Linked DNA regions of Lytechinus pictus. The protein of the gene in region 2 purifies or fractionates together with the protein of the main gene of each other region. This does not show direct contact. Links are inferred from orthologs where the notes say so. Each region holds a gene or a part of one and is shown on either strand. Other genes may lie near its edges.

Region 1 (5,800 bases), on a different chromosome or scaffold from region 2:
TAGATTACAAAGATGAAATCTGCAAAAAAAGAAGAAAATTTGAAGTGAAATAGGGTGTTAAATATGCAAATGTTTTTCATGAATAAATTTGCATATTTTATTAATAATGATTTTAAAAATACATTTTCAGATTTTTTTTTTTAATACTAGCTTGTAGTTTATGTGGTAAAGAATGTGCGTGCCAAATTTCGGCGCGATCGCGCGAACGGCTACCAAGATCAGAAGGGGGGCCATCATGGCCCCCCAATTCATCTCAAATAGCCCAGTCCTTTTAGGGTTAAGATATTGAGATCAAAGTCATCATCCTAGGGGGCTTCAGTCATCCTGATGTGAGTGGCTATACACGTAGCTCTTTCTCTTCAAGTGCATTCAGAAACAGGCTTTCAAACAGAAGATGATAGCTCACATATGATTAACAAAGATGATTTTATGCATACCTTGAAGATATCAAGACCAAAGTCATCATCCTGGAGGGCTTCGGCCATTCTGTTCTGGATGGCTAGGGCTTCTTTCTCTTCTGCTTCTTGGTTGGCAGTCTCCTCCAACTGATCCAAACCTACAAAAGTGGTCATGAAAAAAAAATGTACAAGAATGAAAATGAAAATAAAAAGACAATCAACAGGGAATTGAACCAGGTACCTTGTGGTTCAGATAGTCCTGACTGAGAGTTATCCACTGACCACTACACCTCAAAGTGCTATGGTGTAATAGATTTGATTCTCTTCTTTCAATCAAGATATCGTGAATTGGAATCCAATTTGGATACTTTAATCTTTATTGACAGTAAGAATGTCAACAGAAATGCACATAACAATTATTCCAAGAGAGAAAGCAACTTCAAAATTTCAAACATCGACAGACAAATGCAAAATGCAAAGAAATTACAGTGTCTTATGAAGGGTGCAATTGACTCAAATCAATCCCAACTGTAGAGGGCCAACATTGTTATCATTCGATGATAAGGAAGAGGTTCATCGTGGCGAATGATTGAGTAGAAGAGTAGTAATCAGTTGTCTCACGATGGATCAAACGTTGTTATGTACGTTGCTATGTTTCGTCAGGCAATAAACAAAGACATGATGTCATCATTCGTTTTCTCAAACTTCATATCCCAAGAAAATATTCTTGTAAAATGATGTCGAATGGCGCTTCCATCATCGATTAAACCAATCAGCATCAAACTCCATTTTGTCTACAAACGAACAGTGAGAACTTAATCTCGATAAGAAATTCTGGCAATATTGGCTCTCCATAGTTGAGCTTGTTTGAAACCAATCCCAACTTTTTATCAAAGAAGGATCACTCACCTGGAAGGTCATCATCCACATAGTCGGTGTCATAATAGTTCTGTTTTCTCTTTCCCCACGCCTTGGAGCTTATCTTGTCTGCATCCCCATCGCCTTCGTCGTCGTCATCCTCCTCGTCTTCCAGATCGCTCGCCATCTCATCCATCTTCTCCTGCCTCCTGAAGCGCTGCAATCTCTCTTTCAAGATGGCGTCCTCTTCATCGTCCTCGTCGTCCCAGCCAAGAACCTCTTCCTCCTACATCAAAAATAAAATGTCACTTGAGGTAAGATAAGATAACCAAGTTAGTGTTCTAAACTCATCGCCTTTATCTGCCGTCTCCATTTTTTTCCCCCGCCCCCCCCCCCCAAAAAAAAAAAACAACCTTAAAACTGTTTTGAACTGATACATCAATAGTTTTTTAAAGTTATCTCTGCACAACACCTGACACAAAAAATGGTTTACAAAAAAATTATGAAATTGGGATTTTCTTCATTGATGTTGATCAATAAGTGTCCTGTCTTACAAAGAATTTTGATTGATCCCATCAACCTCAACTACATAGAAATCAATCAATGTCATAATATTTCCTCCAGGAAATTTGTACATTGTCCTTTTGTAAACGAAGAGGGAGCATACTAAATTTTCAAGACAACGATGAATGTACGAATATACATCATATCTAATATAATTATGAACAAACATGTATTTTAGTTGGCATTGCTGGCTTTCCAGAGTTATGGTTGATCAGATAAATCACAACTTTTTGTAAGATGGAACGCACATCCATGTACCTCATTGTCAGAGCTATCAGCTGGTCCTAGCGCTGTGCCTACATCCAAGGAGATTTTTTCTTTGTTGGCATGAAACTCGTCAACTTCATCATAGATATAGTCCCTGGAAGACGGGTCTGGTTCTTTCTCTTTGGCGTATGCTCTAGGGTCATCACTGTCATAGTCAGATTCCTCCGCCTTCTTGCGATGGCCGCCTTTCCTGCCAAAGTTAGACAAACGGAACAATGTTATTGAGACTTTTAGGGGGTGTGTGGATCGTTCTTTGAAAGGATAGTAATTATTCATTCATTCATTGCTTGGGTAGACCTACTAATGGTAAAGTTTGGTATAGTCTATAGAACATTATAATTATTATAGATTTTATGCTTCAATACAATCAGCAATAACACACATCAAAACAAAACTAACAAGTAATATACATTAGAGGAAACTGACAAATGATAATGAAGGGGGGCCCCATGTCTGCGTGTGTACTAACTTAAGATTTTTTAACATGAAAATTTAATTATTTTTATTTCACAAAAATTTTCAGTTGACAGTGTTCCCTATATTCTTATAAGTGTGCCAAAATCTCATTAAAAAATTGAAAGAAATAGATCTAAATGATTTCCTTTGGAAAACTTTGGCCAGTCTTTTTCATATTGAACAAAAAATGATGCCCCATGTCTGTGCACACATTCACTATACACACCATTCAGGGATTTTGATGAGATAGGCTGCATTTTTAGGGCCAGCCATCAAATGAAATGCCCAGTTGGCACGAAATTCGATAATTTCCAGAGTCAGATTTTCTGATGAATATCCGTCTCATGCAGATGTAAAGTTTGTGGTCGTTGCTATCTATTTTTTTCTAGAACCACGCAGATACATGTTTGTGCTGACAAGGGCACATCGAAATGTTGTCCAATGATTGTGTAGCACAAACAGCCAAGCTCCGCACAGCTCACGGCAGTGATTCGGAGACCGCTGATTGGTTGATCGTGCAGATCACGTCATGATCACGTGGTCACAAAAATAATTCGGCCTAAAAATATTCGAAAGTATCGATAGCGATAACGATATCCAGTCACGTTTTCCACACTTACAATGGTCTCGGCTCGTGATTGGATCGCTCAAGTATCGTTTGAAAATCATTGAGGTTCAGTAATTTCTTGCATATTCCTTGTGCGCTCCGAAACCCGGAACTCCAATGACTTTGTATACGTTGCGATAGATTCTGTAACTGACAAACATGTGTCTATGGCGCTTTTCTGTATGATTTTGACAGAAAAGCGAGAAGTAATAAAAATACTCTTAACTATGCGATCGCGATATCGTTGAGAAAATAGTGAGAAAAATATATTCAAAATTGAAATTCTATGTCGATTTTGGTACGGGGTGATAGAGAATTGCACACTTGTTTTGATGCCATTTGTGCTGGGCATTGGGAGCCTTGCAATGCGCATGAATTTTCATTCATAAATTGGCATGTGATCATAGGCTAGCTGGCATAACCTTGTTCATAGAATGAGTGGCTAGCAGGATGACATCTAACCCAGCAAAGCGGGCCGGAGCCCAGGACTCGTCAGTGTAATACTAGTCAAATATATACTCTCCAAAATGGGGTAGAATGTGGTCGCAATAGCACTCCACATAAAAGGGGTAAAAATAAATTATGCACTTACCTCGATTATATGGATGAAGGTCTATCGTGAGTTTGTGACACACTAATCTTGACATCGAGGCACAAACTGGAGGCACAAACTGGACCCTCAAAAAAGGAAAAGTTCTGTCTCGTTCATTCTCCTTCTGTCAAAATTGAAAACAAAATGGCCGATCGATACCAAAACGACCGCGACATAGACGTCTAACTTTTCCTTTTTTTGAGGGTCCAGTTTGTGCCTTGATGTCAGGATTAGTGTGTCACGATAGACCTTCATCCATATAATCGAGGTAAGTGCATAATTCATTTCCCCCCCCCTTTTATTTGGAGTGCTAATATTGTGACCACATTCTACCCCATTTTGGAGAATATATGTTTGCCTAGTATTACACGGACGAGTCCTGGGCTCTGGCCCGCTTCGCGGGCTCCCTGGGTTAGATGACGTCATGTAATATTATACAGTTAGCAAAGTGTGTGCCGTTATGCAGTTATTCGTTTAGGCTATATTTCGACCTGAAGGGGGACTGCGTAGACTTTGGGGCCCTTATCATACAGTTATAATATTGATAATGCAGAATTTCTAACCAAGACTCAGATGGAAAATACAGATCTGGGCCACGGAAGGGGAGGAGCTTGAATTGATCTGGATTAAAGTTAGAGAGTAGAGGAGGCAGGAGGTAGGTATGTGACAAAAAATGAAAATCATCAAATATCAATAAATTTGGTATCATTTGAAAGCTCTTAAAAAGACCTTTCAAATGGTACCAAGAACTCTTATTTTCATCAAGAAATTATAAAGTTATTCCAGTTTAAGTCGCGCATATTCATCCAAATTTGTGGTCATTGTCTTAATGTAAAGTCAATGGAATACAGAACCGACTTTTGTGACCATTTTAAACTCAAGTCTTCAACAGGCTCTAACTTCTTTATTTTTGAGCCCTTTGAAGTAATTTAGGTATCAATGGAAAGGTGAAAGAAAGCTCAATTGATGTGTAATCACGTCACTTTGTAATTTTTCTTCTTTATATGTGTAAAATAATTTCTTCTAATTAATTCTAATAAATTATGCAAATTAAGCAAAATCACAATTACTCGCCTCTTTTTTGCCAAATGAAGGTGATCATAATTTATATAATATAATATCATGTAGATAATTTCCGAAATGAATTTGTTTAAAATATTGTTTTTGTAATTTCTAATGTATTTCTTTATTTTTCTGATATAAATTACAAGCTCTTTTTCAACTTTAGTATTGTATATATGTATGTAATGGGGGATTTTTTTTACATATGAAAATTATCATGCCTTTTGTACTTTGTATGACCAAATACAAATACAAGTGTGCTATTTTCTGATGTATTTGATTGTTTCACAATTTGTTATGTATAATATGTAGCTTTTGATTTTAGAGACAATGGAAATTTGATTACAATTTTTTTCGGAGGGATAAGCAGCCGAGTGTAAAATATGTATGTAGCATTGTATGCAATTTATTACAAGTATCAAAAAGGATAAAAATTAAGCTTTAATATATTCTATCAGTTTTCAATGCATTTCTTAGATTTGTATACATACATTGTATTACAAAGGCCCTGTTTGTGCTCTCTTTTTTTAAGAAAAATAAATAAATTCTGATTCTAGAGTGAAATCACTGCACATAAATGTACACAATTTTTTAACAAAACAAAAGAATTAGCAAGATTTTGTGGAAAAGAACTTAACAATCCAAATTTATCAATCTCCCCAGACCTCATGGATAGACTTGAAAGGCACCCAATTATTAGTTGAAGCCAAAATAAAAGGAAAAGAGTGGTCTATTTCTTTCAAAACACAACAGATATCAAAGATCTAAACAACAACAAAAACAGACATCAAAGCTCCAAACAAACACTAAAACAAGAGAAACAAAAGTGACACAAAAACTTGTACCAATCCCATCACCATTTTCCATTTAAAACACAACCCCCACCTGCACCCCTAACGAAATAAAAAGAAAGAAAAGGAAATAAAAAAAAAATAATAAAATTGATAAAATAGAAAAAAAAATCATAAATGCAGGATTTAGACCCATCTGGAAATG
Region 2 (5,800 bases):
TTACATTTTCAGTCTTTTTTCTTGAATTCTTGGTGAGCGTTCCAAACGCTGTGGGGACTGATCAACTACGATGTGATTCACGTACTGGTCAGCTGATCGGTCAGGTGATCGGTTGGTTATCTTTTTGTCAGACGTTCATAATTTATATTACAATATATCAATCTTCAGTATCTTGATTTCAAGCATCAGTATTGCAGGGAAAAGTCATTATCGATTGGAATCAATGGCAGATCGGGGGGGGGGGGGGGGGGTTGAGCATTTCTGGCCTGTTCCACCTTTTGAGATTCATAGTCAATATTTTGGATGTAAAAAAAAAATGTCGTTCGTACAAAGTTAAGTCCCCCCCCCCACCTCCTTATGAGAATCACAGCAATATTTGTAATGGGGATATTTTGTTCATATTCTTTGCTCTTTTTTGTCCTTTTCTTTTTTGCTTCCCAAATTTATTTTACTTTGAACATATGACTTTCTATATTTAATGACAAACTTTTTTAGGGGGGTGGGGGCTTGCCAAATATAACGCGCGACAAGATGACCTTCTTTTTTTAGTGACAACTTTTTTTTTATTTGTCAAATTTTACGAGAGACAAAATGACCTTCGATCATTATTAATTAAACCTTTTTTTTGGAGGGTAGGGGGCTCGCCAAATAGTGACACACTTTTTTTTGTAAAATGTTATGCAAGAAAAAATGATCTTCAATCATTATCAGCTACCTTTCATTTTTTTTTAGGGGGGGGGGCTTGTCAAATTTTACGTGGGACAAATGACCTTCATTTTTTAGTGATTTTTTTTTTTTATACTTGACAAATTTTAAGAGGAACAAAATGGCCTTCAATCATTTTTAGTTAAAACCTTTTTTTGGGAGGGGGGCTTGCCAAATATTTCACAAACAAAATGAACTTCAATTTTAGTGACCATCTTTTTATTACTTTTAAAATTTCACGCAGGACAAAATGACCTTCACTTTTTTTTAATGTTATGTTATATCGAGATTTTTTACCTGACTGCTAAAAAAGCACGAATGCCTGTGAGCAAGCAACCAGGGGACCAACGGCTTAAGGTCCTCTCCGAGGGACCTGGTAATGAGGATAAGCCTTAAGGGCACTAGCGCACCACTTGGGAATCGAACCCGGGTCACCGGAATCCGAAACCCCTGCTCTACCGACTGAGCCATCGCGCCTCCGATATGTTAAACTTGGGGGGGGGGAGGCTTGCCAAATATTACACGGACAAAATGAGTCTTTTATTTTTAGTAACCATCTTTTCTTTTTACTTGTCAAATCTTACGCGAGACAAAATGACAATTTTTCTGTGATAACCTTTTTGGGGGGGTTGTCAAATTTTACTTGAGAAATTGCACCCCCCTACTTTGGAAAATCGAAGATTAAGATCATGAGTATAGCCTACATCTCAGAGGCATAAACAGATGGGGGCATGGCTGGCCATCCCCCGAGTGGATTTCACCTGAAAAAAAAACATAGGAGCAACGGAAGGAAGAAAGAAAGAAAAATGAAAGAAAGAACGAAAGGAAATTTAAAAAGGAAAGTAATGTGAGAACAAATAATCCGGGGGGGGGGGGGGGCTACTCAGATAATAAAAAAATCTGCCATCTGTAATTAAATTGGATTAGTTAATATCCAGAGGTCCCAGGGCTACCAACATACATGTAGCGCGGGCAGTGCATGGCGTACCTAGGATTTTCCACAGGGGGGCAAAATCGGCCACCAAAAAATTTGACAAGCAAAAAAAAAGGAAAAAAAGGCTCTTCAATGAAAAAGGTCTTCAATCGTACCAGAAAAAAAAAGTCTTCAAGCTCGCCAGGGGGGGCAAAATAGGTATTCAAGCTCGTCGGGGGGGGGGGCAAAATAGGTTTTCAAGCTCGTCAGGGGGGCCGGGGGGCAGAGATATGTAATTTGCATGGGTTTGTGACTCATCGGGGGGGGGGGGGGGCAGACTGCCCCCCCCCCCTAGGTACGCTAGTGCTCGGGACTTACATTACGTAACTTGTATCTTCCACATGCGACATGTACTATGCCCCCTCTTATATACCCCTGTTATGCCCCTGCACAGACTCGTCTACATTGATTTCGATATTTAAGCGTCATTATAAAATTATAGCAAAAAGAACGCCTTGATTAAAGGCCATTACCCCTAGAGACTCGCGAGCGTCATGTGACAACTCGCCCTGGATTTGCACGTACAGGATCCTATGGCGACAAAATCCATCGCAAGAGTTGGCCAGAAGAGGCGATGAAAACACAAAATTTGGAAAGAAAAGAACCCGTGAGTACCCGTATATTACATTATAATTATGAAATTAGTATATAATTGATAACATAGACCTAAATTTAGGCCGTAATTTTGATTAATTTGCTGGAAATTCAAGGCCAAAACGTACCCGTCTGGCGTCGACTTTTCCAACACGCGTTGGAATAGCGGTGTAGCCCCAGAGTGAAGTTGAGGGCTTCTAAGAATGTTCTAAACTCAAAGCGTGTGTGATCGAGGTTGACGAGTTGGCCTAGAAGCAGCAGTTTCCTGAGATCTATCTGTGATGAGACTGGAAGGAGGTCAGTGAGGAGGTAGACAATCTCGTCAGCGGCAGTCTTTGGGACCCCTAGAACTTGCTTAATCAGATGGGATTGAGCCCGGTCTAACTTTACAAGCATAGATTTAGTGAACTTGTGGATAAAGAAACGTAAAAAGAAACATATGGGACCACATAAAAATTCTGCACTTACTTTGTGTAATCTTCCCTCTTTTGAATGTGGTAACGCCGCATGATTTTTACTTCATGTAGGTTGTTGTCAACTTCCCATGATATAAAGTCAACCTTCTTCAGCAACTTCTGTTCATGATACTTCAATTTTCTCATGATTACGAGGTCTTTATTCAAGGCAAGCTGGCAAGATCAGGAAGAATGTCAACAAGTCGCACGTGGACTCACGGATATTCAGTCACACGTTTGTCGCCCTCTGCGACTCATCCCCATGGAGATGCGAATCAATACACGCCCAATACAGTTTTGTTTTGGTTACATGCACCTGTTCACTGTTAATGTTCTGCTTGTGTTGCGTTGTTGCATTGATGATGTCCATGTGAATCTCATCGCTTGTGAAAACAAGGCGTTAATGCAAGAACTGGCGGCGTGGAATAAGCTAAACTGGATATTATTTTAGGCTATACCGGTAGATCTAAATCCAATCTTCATAGAAATCGAAAGAGGAAAAACAATGAGTGCACCATCAACAGCTCCTTTTGACAACCCGCTGCTCAAAAAGGTGAATATTTTCGTATTAAATTTTGCTCTTGATTTAATGGTTAATAATATTAAGCCTTAAGGGGAGATGCTAGGTGGCCGGTGTTTTTGGTTCTATAGGCCTAAGTTAGAATTATTGAATAATGTTTAGTCTAAAGATCTAATCGCCCCACTAAGTAAAAATCTACAGTATTTCTGATTTATTTAGGCCTATATCAAGGGGTCGGGTCAACTCGGACCACGGGACATCTCGGACCGCGGGCCGAGTTGTCCCACCCATTACGAGATTGAGTTGTCCCTGATTCTATATCAAGGTCTAAGTTAGGCCTAGATCTAAGTTTGGGTCTAACATTATAGTATACAAATAATGCATGCAGCCGAGTGCGTTAGTGGAAATGCAGAGCACGCGAGGTTTCTTTAGATAGGAGTCGCACTGTGCACGAGCCGCTTGCGGCGAGTGCCCAGTGTGCTCCATCTGAAGAAACCGAGCTTTCTCTGCATTTACATTTACGCACGACAGAGCAAGTGCATTATTTGTTTTATAAAATAGCAACACAGAAACAATTTTTTTTAAAGTTACAGTACAGTTTTGTTGGACTTCTACCGCACTGGTTTGCTCGAGCGTGCAATGTCAATTTTCGTTGCACACCTTTTGCACTACCGTGCAGTGCACAAAAAAAGTTGGATGTCATGTGACGCGTATTGACCAATCGCGATGCTTGAAATAATACAGCTATTTTATAATAGAACCTAACAAAAAAGTAACTGATGCATCATCATTCATCATGCACCACCAAGTCCAAGGTCGAGATGGCAATCATAATTCATAATATTTTTTACTTTTACTTAGTATTCATGTTATTTAGCCCAGCCATCTAGGTACCCAACAGGGGTGATACAAACCAGAAAAAGGAGAGAGAAAATAAAATTGTTAAGATCTAGATGATGGATCTATTCCCAGAATATTTTTTTTTTTTTTCAATCGTTGATTGATGGTATGATGGGGTGTCCAAACTTCGCGCACTTTTCAAAAATATTCATCAGGCTTAATTTTGTTCACAAAATATTCATAATTTATACAAAACCAATTCAAGAAATAGTTACCACATTGACGGCAAGATCGTAAACTATAAAATCATGGACGAAAATGTTAAGTAGGTCAAGGGGTTTCGCCAGTATCGCGATCTCAAAATTCTATTCCGATCGGCAAATGCGGGCTGTGCTGGAAAACCGTTCAGAAAAGTGTGACCTAACTTCGCGCACCAAAGCTTTTGTGGAGATTTAAACAAAAACTCAAGCTCAAAAAGTGAAAGATTTATATCAGATTGATGGCAAAATGCTATGGAATCGGTTAGTACCACATTTAACTCACATTTTTGATGATTTCCGCTTGCAAAATGGTGATATCGTGATGCTTGTTGATTTCTTCAAAACGGGCACTAGTGGTGACAAATTTGCCGATCTTTTGCCAATATTTTCATGAATACTGAACTCATCCTAAAGAAGTTTTCATTACAGGGTAATTTTAGGTCGCTTTTCACGTTGATGATGTCAGATTTTAAGGATATTGGCTAGTTTTTGAGATAAGGACCGTCCGCGAAGTATGGACACGCGCGAAGTTTGGACACACTGCCATACTGTAGTGATGCTTGCACAATAACAAACTGTTCCCTACCAAGTACGAAAATTATTTTTCCTCTTTTTTTTTTATTTTTACATTCCAGTCTCAACTTGGAAGGCCTTTACAACGAGGATACAGCCTTCCGGCTGATGCCAACTTCACATATGGACGTCCCAACATGAGCAAAGATAATGGAGCCTCCGAAGCCCTATCAGGATGGTCTCCTAGTGGTCCCTTGATGCCCATCAGCAACACAGAACGTAAACCAGAAAGAGACTTTATTGCTCTCAACAAAGCATGTATAGGTGCTGGGTTGGTGACGGCTAGCGATCAGTTTCAGTACAGAGCAACACATGATGTCAGGCGCAGGATATCGGATGAAGAGAAGAGCAAGTCCAAAGTTAAGAGGATACCAGCATCCATGACCTTTGGAATCTCAACCAGGTAAAGAAAGATTTCTTCTTCCTCTTCTCCTCCTCTTCCTTCTTTTTTTTGCAGCAATCCTAATAAATAAGTCGATTATCCTGTTCGTAAATATCTGGTATTAATGAGCCATAGTTTTACATAAAATTGTTTTCCTGTTAATTTATGAAGTTACACTCCTGTTTGGGATAGAGTTCAAGACATTTGCAAAAAATACCTTAAACAACTTTGCATGAGTCTCTGCAGCAGATATAAACAATGGAAGTTTCCAGATATAACAATATAGTTCAGAAAGGCTTGTTTGTCTATATCAATAGCAAAACTTTTTTCATAATGCAAATTAGAAGAGGAGGAAAATTTTCATTGCATTGGACCAAAGAACTGAAATAGAAATTGATTTTTTTTGTTTTATACAAATATTAATATACCATGCTCCAGAGCTGAATTTGAATGATTCATAATCAGACTCGTGTAATTGTTTGGCCAAAATATTTTACG

What was found. The genes of interacting proteins can lie anywhere in the genome.
Region 1: the proteins of U3 small nucleolar ribonucleoprotein protein IMP3-like (region 2) and something about silencing protein 10-like purify together in Homo sapiens (affinity purification with mass spectrometry; 3 studies listed by BioGRID and IntAct, with this or other methods). This does not show direct contact. The link is inferred for Lytechinus pictus from reciprocal best matches to the Homo sapiens genes IMP3 and UTP3.

Annotation. Positions count from the first base shown.
Region 1 is NC_087258.1:9,777,214-9,783,013, forward strand, and holds the start of something about silencing protein 10-like, read right to left. Parts: upstream 3,075-5,800; coding exon 3,070-3,074; intron 2,278-3,069; coding exon 2,079-2,277; intron 1,543-2,078; coding exon 1,308-1,542; intron 557-1,307; coding exon 438-556; intron 1-437. UniProt on the Homo sapiens protein: Essential for gene silencing: has a role in the structure of silenced chromatin. Plays a role in the developing brain. Part of the small subunit (SSU) processome, first precursor of the small eukaryotic ribosomal subunit.
Region 2 is NC_087259.1:28,241,512-28,247,311, forward strand, and holds the start of U3 small nucleolar ribonucleoprotein protein IMP3-like, read right to left. Parts: upstream 2,976-5,800; 5' UTR 2,875-2,975; coding exon 2,741-2,874; exon of another isoform or gene 2,720-2,740; intron 1-2,719. Other genes in the region: cilia- and flagella-associated protein 77-like, read left to right, coding at 3,233-3,280, 4,983-5,323. UniProt on the Homo sapiens protein: Component of the 60-80S U3 small nucleolar ribonucleoprotein (U3 snoRNP). Required for the early cleavages during pre-18S ribosomal RNA processing. Part of the small subunit (SSU) processome, first precursor of the small eukaryotic ribosomal subunit.